Caenorhabditis elegans: one gene and its partners. The protein of the gene in region 1 interacts with the protein of each later gene in a pairwise test. Each region holds a gene or a part of one and is shown in the gene's direction. Other genes may lie near its edges.

What was found.
Region 2: the proteins of cup-5 (region 1) and ttr-21 interact in a two-hybrid assay, tested with the Caenorhabditis elegans proteins (one large-scale study listed by BioGRID).
Region 3: the proteins of cup-5 (region 1) and T28C6.7 interact in a two-hybrid assay, tested with the Caenorhabditis elegans proteins (one large-scale study listed by BioGRID).

Annotation. Positions count from the first base shown.
Region 1 is NC_003281.10:7,582,570-7,586,329, forward strand, and holds the start of cup-5 (Polycystin cation channel PKD1/PKD2 domain-containing protein), read left to right. Parts: upstream 1-2,113; 5' UTR 2,114-2,119; coding exon 2,120-2,572; intron 2,573-2,621; coding exon 2,622-2,805; intron 2,806-2,849; coding exon 2,850-3,161; intron 3,162-3,527; coding exon 3,528-3,760. Other genes in the region: gda-2 (CMP/dCMP-type deaminase domain-containing protein), read right to left, coding at 221-410.
Region 2 is NC_003283.11:13,853,294-13,856,489, reverse strand, and holds ttr-21 (Transthyretin-like family protein), read left to right. Parts: upstream 1-2,084; 5' UTR 2,085-2,103; coding exon 2,104-2,275; intron 2,276-2,326; coding exon 2,327-2,592; 3' UTR 2,593-2,656; downstream 2,657-3,196. Other genes in the region: srx-134 (G-protein coupled receptors family 1 profile domain-containing protein), read left to right, coding at 14-46, 94-487, 533-699, 775-1,104.
Region 3 is NC_003282.8:8,825,694-8,829,453, forward strand, and holds the start of T28C6.7 (Kinesin motor domain-containing protein), read left to right. Parts: upstream 1-2,110; coding exon 2,111-2,260; intron 2,261-2,307; coding exon 2,308-2,521; intron 2,522-2,825; coding exon 2,826-3,301; intron 3,302-3,355; coding exon 3,356-3,748; intron 3,749-3,760. Other genes in the region: col-3 (Nematode cuticle collagen N-terminal domain-containing protein), read left to right, coding at 1-279.

The DNA of each region.
Region 1 (3,760 bases):
AAATTAAAAAGTACAGTGAACCAAATTATAGGCAATCAAAAAAGTCAAAAACCAAACACTGAAGATCAAAGCAGTAAGTGATGTCCAAACAGTGATATCTTGTAAGGAATTTACTAAATAAAAAACAATTGTAAAAAATTATAAATTATTTTCGAAATTTTGGATTCAAGAAACTAATTTTGTTTCCTTTACTAAAGTTAAAAACGAAAGGAATACTTACCGACATTCTTACAAGTATTTCTGATGGCTGTAACTTCGGCGTGTGCTGTTGGATCCTTGGTGACTAAAACCATGTTATGCCCACTACCGATTACCTTCCCATCCTTGACAATTACAGCTCCAAATGGTCCACCGTCTCCCTTCTCCATTCCTTTCTTGGCTTCTTCGATTGCGAGTTTCATGAATTCCATTTTTCTGAATTTTCAAGAAATGTTTCGATTAACCGAGTTTTTTCACGGATGAAAAATTTATTAGAAACAAAAATAAATAAAAAAATATCAAAACTACAAATGAATGAATATGTTGTAAAAACTATAGTTGCCAAAAACTTTCACTTTAACAAAAATTTGACATCGAGAGAGTACGCCAGAGATGAAGAAAAAGAAGGCGTGGGAAAAGAACAAAAAAGGAAAAGAGCGATCGGAAGCCAGTCAACCAAACAAAAAATGATGATGAACTGAATATTGTGGAGGTGTTTTCGATAGTTGCAGACATGGAAACGTATTAGATTTTAAAAATTTGTGTGTGGCAAGAGGAATTTTGATATCGAAGTTCAATAAATAGAAATTCAGAATTTAATATTTTATTGAAATCACAGGAAATTTAAAAATTGCAGAGACTTTTTTCGATATTTGGGGTACGACCAAAAAAAAAGAACAAAAATTGAAGTAGTTGTCAAACGTTGCCTTCTGTAAACTTTCAAAAACGGTACCTACTGTCTCACTGCGCCTTCAAAAAACGACAGTAATCCATTGCCCGTTTGTTAGTTGTGCTCTTCCTTTTCTCACTATTTGTATCTAAAAAGAAACAGATAAAATTATACGACAGAATATGAATATGACTAAAAATTCAAAGAAAAATTTCAATGGTTTACTGTGGTTGTTAAAGGTGCATACCTTTTTTGCGGCGGCTACGATTTGAAAATGTTCGCGCTGTGAACCAGCCCGAAATTTTTGTAATAAATTGAAATCTTTCGCAACTGGGTAATAACTCAAACTTTTTTAACTACAACTTTATAACCTGCAATTTCACTTTTAAAATGTGCGTCATTCTATGCAAATTTCTGAATTTATAATTCTCTCCGAGTTTATCCATATTAACGTCATTGCAAAATACTATGTACATGTGCCCTCAAAAAATTTTCCAATTTCTCTTTACTGAAAGTACTACGCTTTTTATTTTCTTTGTGTGCACCTTTCAAAAGTCATGCTCAATTTTGTATAGATTCCAACCGCTATTTATCTACGGAAGGAAAAAAAAACCCAACACAGAAAAAAACAAATTGACGTGTCTCTAGCTTCCCTGCGCTTCTCTCTCTCAAATGCTCTTTTATCTATCCCATGTTCGCCATTTACATCGGCTCTAAATAACACCTCTAAGCTTTCTTGAAAGATGAGTAGAATATTCAGAAGCCAAGCTTCGAGATCGATGCGGTTAGAGCAAATTCCCCTCGAATCGGTGAGATAATAAATGTATTGTTTTAAGGGTTGAAAACTGCAAAATTGCATGTTTGCATGGTCTTAACCAATTTTTGATTGACTGATAACGATAATTTCTGATAATTTTGGACTTTAGGTGAGTATTTCTTTTTAGTTCTTCGTTTTTTAAAGAGAAAATAAATACCATAAGATTGACCGGCGTCAGATATTGTGCATGGTACGCAAAGACACCGCGCGGTGTACCTCACTAGTAGGATTTACGCGGGCGTTGGTCTCGGAAAATTATTTTTTAATTGTTCAAACAATTATTTGTTTTTGTTTTTTATAAATAGCATGTTAATCATAAAAATATATATTTTTTAAAAATTAGAATTCATATTTTGTACGCTTATATTAACCGCCACTCGCATCGAAATCAATTTTTCATTAATACAACGTTATTTAATATTTCATGATTTCAGATGTCTCGCCGGAGCACAACTGATCGTTCAGACTTCAACGATAATGCTTCGAATGCTTCTTCAAATGCTTCTCGAAGGCCAACAATAAATTTTCAAGAAATAATGGAAGATCTTCCGCACCACGAAAGAGAAACCGGCGAACGTCTTCGCCGTCATCTCCAATTCTTTTTTATGAATCCAATGGAGAAATGGAAAGTCAGACATCAACTGCCCTATAAGTTGGTTCTACAAGTGCTCAAAATAGTTTTCGTTACCATGCAATTAATTTTATTCGCGGAAATGCGCATGTCTCATGTTGATTTTCTCGAAGACACCACAACAGTTATGAGACATCGATTTTTAAAAGAATGGAATGACGACAGAGATGCATTACAATATCCACCAGCTGAAGGAAGATATTCGGTTTATGATGATCAAGGATTATCCGAGCATTTGAGCTTTTTGATTAATTCTGTAAGTCGCTTTGGAGAACTATCTTGTAAAATGATCAATATTGTTTCAGTATTATTCAATTCGCAATGATTCATTTGCTTCATTTTCCTATGACGTTGTAAGTCATCCATCTGGAAATCTTGGCGCTCAAATTAGTTTTGAATCTATTCCACCTATTGAAGTTCTTATCGATCGAATTTCCAACGTAACAGTGAACAATAACACTTATAATTTCGACATTCGTGAAGTGAAAGGTATATAAACATACTATTATGAAATAAAAATAGTTTATTTCTAGACACGAAACGTCTGAATCTAACAGAAACGGAAGTCTTCCAAATCGGACAATCCGATGATGCTGTTCGAGATATTCTCGCCACTCGTGGAATCACATTTCTCCCAGAAGACGCGCTCAAGATATCGACGGTCCAATTCAAATTTCGACTACGAACAATTCATTATTCACCAACAGCCGGAGATCAGAAACCAGAATGCTATAAGATATCAGTTTCTATCAAATTTGATAATTCAAGGCATACAGGACAGGTTCATGTCACTCTATCAACTGTGGTTTCTTATGTGAATGTTTGTAATGGAAGGATCATCAAAGGTGAACACTTCACTTTTTTCAAATTTTCAAAGTAAAGCTAGTAAAAATTATAGATTATGTAATCGAAAATTACCCAATTAACATAGAATTCCAATAATTAATGGTGAAGAATCATCAAATGGGATGCTATTAAATATAACTTCAAATCTTTTATAAAAGTCTTTCTGAAACTTCGTGTTAAAATCTACATAACTTTATTTGCCTAAAAAAGTTCTTCTTGAGAGTAACATTTAGATTTTAGGTATTCAAAAATTTCCCAATTAACTTGAAATATTTAACTTCTAGGTGTACTTCTGTGTTTAAATAAAAATGAATTTTGTAATATTAAAATATCAAAATATAAAAATTCAATCAATCTCGAGTTAGGTCAAGTTTCAGGTGTTGGATGGTCATTTGACACACTTTTAATCGGCGGAACCGATATTTTCGTTCTCATTCTTTGCATTCTATCACTGATTCTCTGCTGCCGAGCCCTCATCAAAGCCCATCTACTTCAAATCAAAACAAGCGACTATTTTGAGAATGTACTCAAAAATAAGATCACCGTTACCGATCAACTCGATTTTCTGAATTTGTGGTATGTGATGATTGTGGTCAAC
Region 2 (3,196 bases), on another chromosome or scaffold:
TAAAATAATATTGATGGTATTTTTGAATATTTTGATTCCTTTACTTGTAAGTCTAAACTAAATATTGTAATCGTTGATTTTCTTCAATTCCAGCTCGGTTCTATCGGAGTGATTTTAAACTTAATTTTAATTGTAAAATTCATGAAAATAAAGAAGAGCGCGGTTACAAATTTTACAAAACTATGTCTCTGCAAAGCAATTTCCAATTTTGTTATGAGCGCATCGTTTCCATTTTGGATTGTTCCTTTTTCAATGCTGGAATTTAAAATCCAAAACATTCCGAGAACATTGAATGTGATTGTTTCTGAATTTGTTGGTATATTTACTTATTATTTTGGGCCTTTTATTTTAATATGTATGTCTATAAATCGATTCATTGCTATTTACTTTCCATTTTCAACAATTTCCAAAAAACCATTTTTCACAAACTTTGGTATTTTTATTTCAATTTTGCTTGCAAGTTCGCCAGTGTTTGTACCCAAAATATGTATGTTTCACTAGTGTTTCAAACCAAAATAGAAATTTATTTCAGTCAGTTGCTATATAATTTATGATCCAGAGACTACTATTTTTTCATCGGAAAACTACGATCGGTGCGGGGAAGCTATGAATCAATTTTTCGTGATATCAATAGTAACATTGGCGTTAATATCTAATCTGATCAACTTGGTTATTTTTGCCAAACTCATGAAAGATAAGGTGAGCAGTTTTGTGATGATGTAAGGCAGTTTTAATTTAAAAAAAAACTATTAAATGAAGTACCATATTTTCAAGATGAGTGGAGTCAGTGAAGCTCAAAAAAGCAAGCGACGGAAAAAGTGGCAAACGATGTACATTCAAAGTGTCATTCAAGATTTTTTGCAAGCAGTAGATATTATAAATTTATATTACACATCTGGGCTTTTCGATGATCCTCTTTGGGTTTTTGTGTTTACTTCTGTTTCTTTTTCGTCTGTATATATGCTCGACGGAGCAACAATGGTGTATTTCCATTCAAACTTTAAACTTGTGTGCTCTTGTAAAATCGCAAGCACGAAAAACGTTGTGATGGTATCTGGAAAGGAGAGCTCAGCTTTTAAGCTTGCTACTAATTCAAAGATTTAGTCTTTTTGTTGATTCTTAATTATTAACCGATTCAATAATAGTATTATCCCTAAAATAATTTTAAAATGTTTTTCAAATTTTCATTTATACTTTCAAAACAATTTTTCTGGAAACAAATAAATAAGAAAAAATTTGCAGCAAGCTATAAGATTTTTAATTAATTTGTCTGCGAAATATTTCACATAGAACAACACGCTCCGCGTTCTAAAATCTACAGGAATGAATTTATCGAAATTAAGACTTTTTTGTCAGAATGTGCATCAAAGTTACATTAGCATGTCTGGAAAATTATACAAATTACACAGTTGTCTAGAATTATTCAACAACAAAAAAAGGAATTTTTATCAAAATTATCTCAAGCACAATGCTCCTCTCCATCAAAAATCCACAACAAATTTAGAATTGTACCCAACCCTATATACATTTGCAATAGGTCTACTACAATTTATTAATTCAAAGAAGCTGGTTTGTGAATTTACATTTTTTGTTCTTTGGGAAATTAAAAAAAGGGATTCACATGACATTCTTCAGGATGTTACGGTTTCAAGTGACTGTAATTTACAGTACGTATTCGTACGAATAAAATATACATTAGTTTCTGAAAACATTGAAAAATGGTTAAAGTTTAATTTAAAAAATGAGAAATAATTATTGGATTTCGTGAACCAAAGAAATTATCCATGCGGGTATTGAAGTTAGCGTCAATGATCAAACGTACCTATTGAAATTTTGATGATATCATGTTTATGAAATCTTTTAAAAACTGACTCATAAATATTTAAACTATGACCAAAGTAACATGTGATCCGATGTTTGTTGCTTCTTTCTTCCACCCTCACACAGTTCTCACTTTTTTGACATTTCTTGGGTATGCTCGCCACTGTCTTCAATGTTTACTCGCGAACTTTATTTATATTATTTCTATTTACCAGTGGCACAATGACGAAAGTATAAAAAGATCAGACAAAAGCTCATTTTTCATCGACCATCACACTAAAAATGACATTGATTTCTCTGACACTACTTGTCGCGTTTCTCGTTTTCGCTCAACTTTCCGATGCTGTCTTAAATGTTGTTGGAAGTACTCAGACTATTACTGTAACTGGAAGATTAGTGTGTCAAGGACAACCAGCTAGAAATGTTCTTGTGAAGATGTATGAGGATGGAACCAGTAAGTTATTTTTTCCTGAATTTTAAAAGTAAACAAAATTAAAATTTACAGTATGGGATTCTAAATTGGATTCAACAAAATCAGCAAATGACGGAACCTTTCGAGTTGCTGGAACCTACACAAAAATCTTTACATTGGACCCCAAAGTAAACATCTACCATCAGTGCAATTACAACGGACTTTGCTCCAAAAAATTGACTATTAATATTCCTGACTACGCAGTTGCCAGTGGTTCCGGATCTTCTACAAATTATGATATTGGAACATTGAATTTGGCAAATCAATTCAGTGGAGAAACTACTGATTGTATTCATTAAATGTAATTACTCAAAGTTGTATTTTTACTCTGATTCTGAACGATCTCAATAAACGCTTACGTTCAAATGTTTTCCACTAAAATATCCCAAATACGTTTTTATCTTGAGGCCTCTTGAAAAATTCTCAAATTTTTAACTGGTGGTTTGAAATTTCGAAAAGTTTTTCAAATTTTGGCATATCTTTCATCATTTATTTTGATTTTTTTTTTAATTATCAGGGTACAAATTAAATTTGAAGGTGCTGACGAAACGACTGAAAAACCACAATATTCAATGAAAAAAAGACGTAAATTTTGTACAAATTACTCACTTTCAATTATATACCTGATTCAAGGATTGGCAAAACTTAGGAATTAGGCAAGACTTTGGTAAAGGCTGCGCAGTTTTCAATTTCGGACCAACATTTGGCGAGAGTTGAGCAAAATTTGGTTCGCTCAAATTTTGCCATTTTCTGATCCAAGTTTTTTTTGGAAGCTTGCTCAATATGCTGAGCCAAGCTTTTTCTACGAAACTATTCAAAATTATCAATTTTCAGTATAAGTTCCAAAATCCCGTAACAACTCAAGTGAGCATTGTAGTCTACATGATTTTCATGTGTACTTGT
Region 3 (3,760 bases), on another chromosome or scaffold:
GCTCCATCCGAGCCAATTACACCAGGAGCACCAGGACCAGCTGGACCAGCCGGACCACAAGGACCACCAGGAGCCCCAGGACAGCCAGGACACGATGGACAACCAGGAGCCCCAGGACCAAAGGGACCAAATGGAAACCCAGGAGCCCCAGGAGCCGACGGAAACCCAGGAGCCCCAGGACAAGCTGGAACTTCCGGAGGTGCCGGAGAGAAGGGAATCTGTCCAAAGTACTGCGCCATCGACGGAGGAGTCTTCTTCGAGGACGGAACTCGCCGTTAAATTTTATGAGAAATTCAACAATAAAATATTCTCTATTCATCAATTTAATGTGTTTTTTTGTTCAACTTCAGAGAAAATAACTAATTCAGAACAAGAAAATTTCGTCACTAGTAATTACGCAGCAAGAATAACGATTCCATAGATACACAATTATTCTGTACAAAATATTTATTAGTTTTAGTATAAAGAAACAATATTCTTAAAAATGCTCCTAGTTCGAAATTTGGAATGGTTTATCGAATTATTACAATGACCTGAAAAGCCTAGAATTTATGCTATCAGTAATGCTGATTTTTCAGAAGAACTGATGAGCTTAATAGACACAAATGCCTTTTGAAAATAGAAAGAGAACTGTGTTTCATGGGTTACCAAACTTAGTAAATTTTCTTCTCGATGCTGTTTGATCTATCTTGACCCAAAAACTTTAGTAAGACAGAAATTATTTTAACAAAAATATCAGTTGTGTGCTTTGCTTTTTTACATCGTGCTCTCATGTACTGACAGACAATGAGACGTGTTCTTATAACGTTTTGTTCACAGTTTTCAATGCTTACTTTAACTTTTCTGAATACACACCGCACAGAAAACTAATGATTTAAAATGGCCTACATGAAGAGTTCCAAAACAGAAAATAAAAATTGAAAAGTCATGTTTTTTCATGCCAAAATAGTCATTTGGTTATTTTTACCATCGATTTCTTTTTTGTAATTAATATCCGTATTTAATGTCACTAATATTTCACCGAGCTCTCCCATTATTTGGCCCATACACTATGTCAATGGTCACCGCGAAAGTGAAATGCGCCACCGCAAACGAATGTGCGTCAGCAGAAAATCAATAACGCGGGTGCCGTGTTGGTCGACGTGTCTCTCGAAAGGAACTAATTCGAACCAGTTTTTTGTAGAATTTCGTGTTAAAACTTCATTTTTGATTCTTCAGGAATTAAATTGCACGTAGATTTGTAACTGTTTTAAGTCGTTTCATATATTCTTCCTTATGTTTCAAATTTAGTTATATAACCTATATTTAAATTGCTGTATTAATTCACAGTGCTAGCCAAAGAAGCAACCTTTTTTGGTTTTTGATATTGTTGAGAATGATTAAAATGAATTCCGAAACTATTTCCGAAACTAATTCAGAAGCTAATTCAGAAGCAAATTATTTTTACTTTTGTATACTTGTTCAAATAAGTTAATTATATTCACTAGTACCAAAAAAAGCGGAATTTCTAGAGTATATTATTATTATAGTTAAAAAATGAAACAGTAAATGAAAATTATTTTACTTCAGCAACCTTTAAATACAAAAATAAATATTTTGTTAGTTATACTTCTGATAACTAGGTTACGAGTTATACTTTTGAATAATTTGCAACATTATCAAAAAACTGAAAGTGAATATATTTTTGGCATGCTCCTTATACCTAATCAGTTTATTAACTTTAAAAAACGATTTTTCATCCATTATAAGACTTCTCAAGTAGTGTCGGAAGATTAAAAAATTTTAGAAAAAAAAGGATGTGTTCGGAAAACTTTTTGAAAAAAAAACGTGAGACGCATATTATTGCGTGAGATTAAAATGTGAGCTTTCCACGTGGGTTCAGCGCCTCTCCGTTACGTGGAACGGGGTTTCTCTGTTTCTCTCTCCAATCTCTCGCAGAAAATTTATTCTGGATTTACAAATTATTTAAAAAGTTTTTGAATAATTTTACGTCATCCCTTTTTTTAAACTATAATTTTCAAATTTCTTTTCTTCTCATTGTTTCTTCACGTCCTTGAAGTATACTGTCACTTTTTAAATACGTTAAATACAAATATAATACTTTTCAGAAATGGAGGACAAAACCTCCAAAGAAAAAGAAAAATCGGCCGACAAACGGATCGATGAACGGGTTCATCAACAACTGGTGTATAAGGATAACCGAATTATAGATTTAAATAATGTGATATTGGATAAAGAAAGGCAAATTTTGGACTTACAGGTGAGAATTATTCTGTTTCTGTGGTTTCATATTGGAGTTGTATTTAGGAAAGAGTTCGTGAGCACAATGAAGTTGCTTCAGTCAAAAATCAAGCAATGAGAATTGTTCAACAAAAATTTGAAGAAATGAATAGAGACAAGAAGGATATGTCGACAGAAACTGAGCCTTCTTTGATGGCTCATTCCTCAGTACCATTATCAAATTCAAAGAGTGAACGGAGAGCAAGAAGTTCATCTCCAGGTCATGTCATTGCACAGAGAAGTGAGTAAAGTTTTTTGGTTAAAAAAAAATGAAGTTGTCATGCACCATTTCTGAATATATATGACGTTCAGTTTTATTTTTAGAATTTTTTTATTATTCCCAAACAGGAAAATTGCTGATCTTAGACGTGTTAGGACAACTGTAACCTACAGTAATCTAAAGGTAGCTTGCCCAAGTAATTTGTATGCTCCTCTTTTTCTTGAAAATAAGCTCGAAAATTGAGCACACGGCTAGAAATTGAAAATTGTGACGATATAAAACTTTTTTTTAAAGTTTAACGGAATTGAATTGATCTATTTTTCAGAAACGATGGTCTCAAGTTCATCGGGAACCTTCTCTCCTCCACCATTGGATCCTCCATTTGATCCATCTAGCAAACTGAGCGCTCTTCCAGATATTGACGGAATCCATAGGAAACATCAAAGAAAACGTGTAACTTTTGATTTAAATCCAAATGGTTCTTCAATTGGAACATCAACATCTTCCAATTTTCCATCTACATCTGTTTCCCGCTATCCCACCATTTCAATGTCTTCTTCAACTTCAGACGCTCTCGAGTCTGCTTTAACAGAAGCTTCATCTGAAAATGCTTTACTCCGTCAGCAAGTTATCGAACTAAACTCATCTGTTGAAAAAATGAAAGCAGACTATGAATCTGAAATTCTCAAATACACAAAAGAGGCAAAAACTGCTGGACTCAAGGCAAAGGTTGCGGCGACTGCAAGAATCAAGGAGTTGGAAACTACACTTGAAGATATCAATGGAAAATATGAAGATGAGGTAAGTGAAATAGATGAATATATCATTTTGTATAGAAACGTTTCCAATTTTCAGAGGGATCGTCTTCAAGAAGAAGTTGACACTCTCCGATCTTCTCGAAATTGGGAAATAGAACAAAATGCTCTTCTTCGTGATCAAGTTGCTCATTTGAAAGAAAAAGTTCACAAGTTGACAACAGAGTTAGATGCTAGTGAAGTAGCCAAACGATCCTTGAGCTCAGAAGTTGACGAATCTAAAAAGCTGATGGAATTGATGGTTGAAGATCTCCTTCAAGCTGAATCCGCTATCAACTACAATCAATGTCAGAAAAAAGCTATTTTTGAGGACATTGACCGATTGAAGGATGCCATTCAAGCACAGGATAGATTTATTGAAGTTCTTGAAGCTGATATTGTCATCTATGAGCAACATATTGGACTTTTGAGAGAGAATTTGGGTGCTTCACAGGTAAGATTTTTA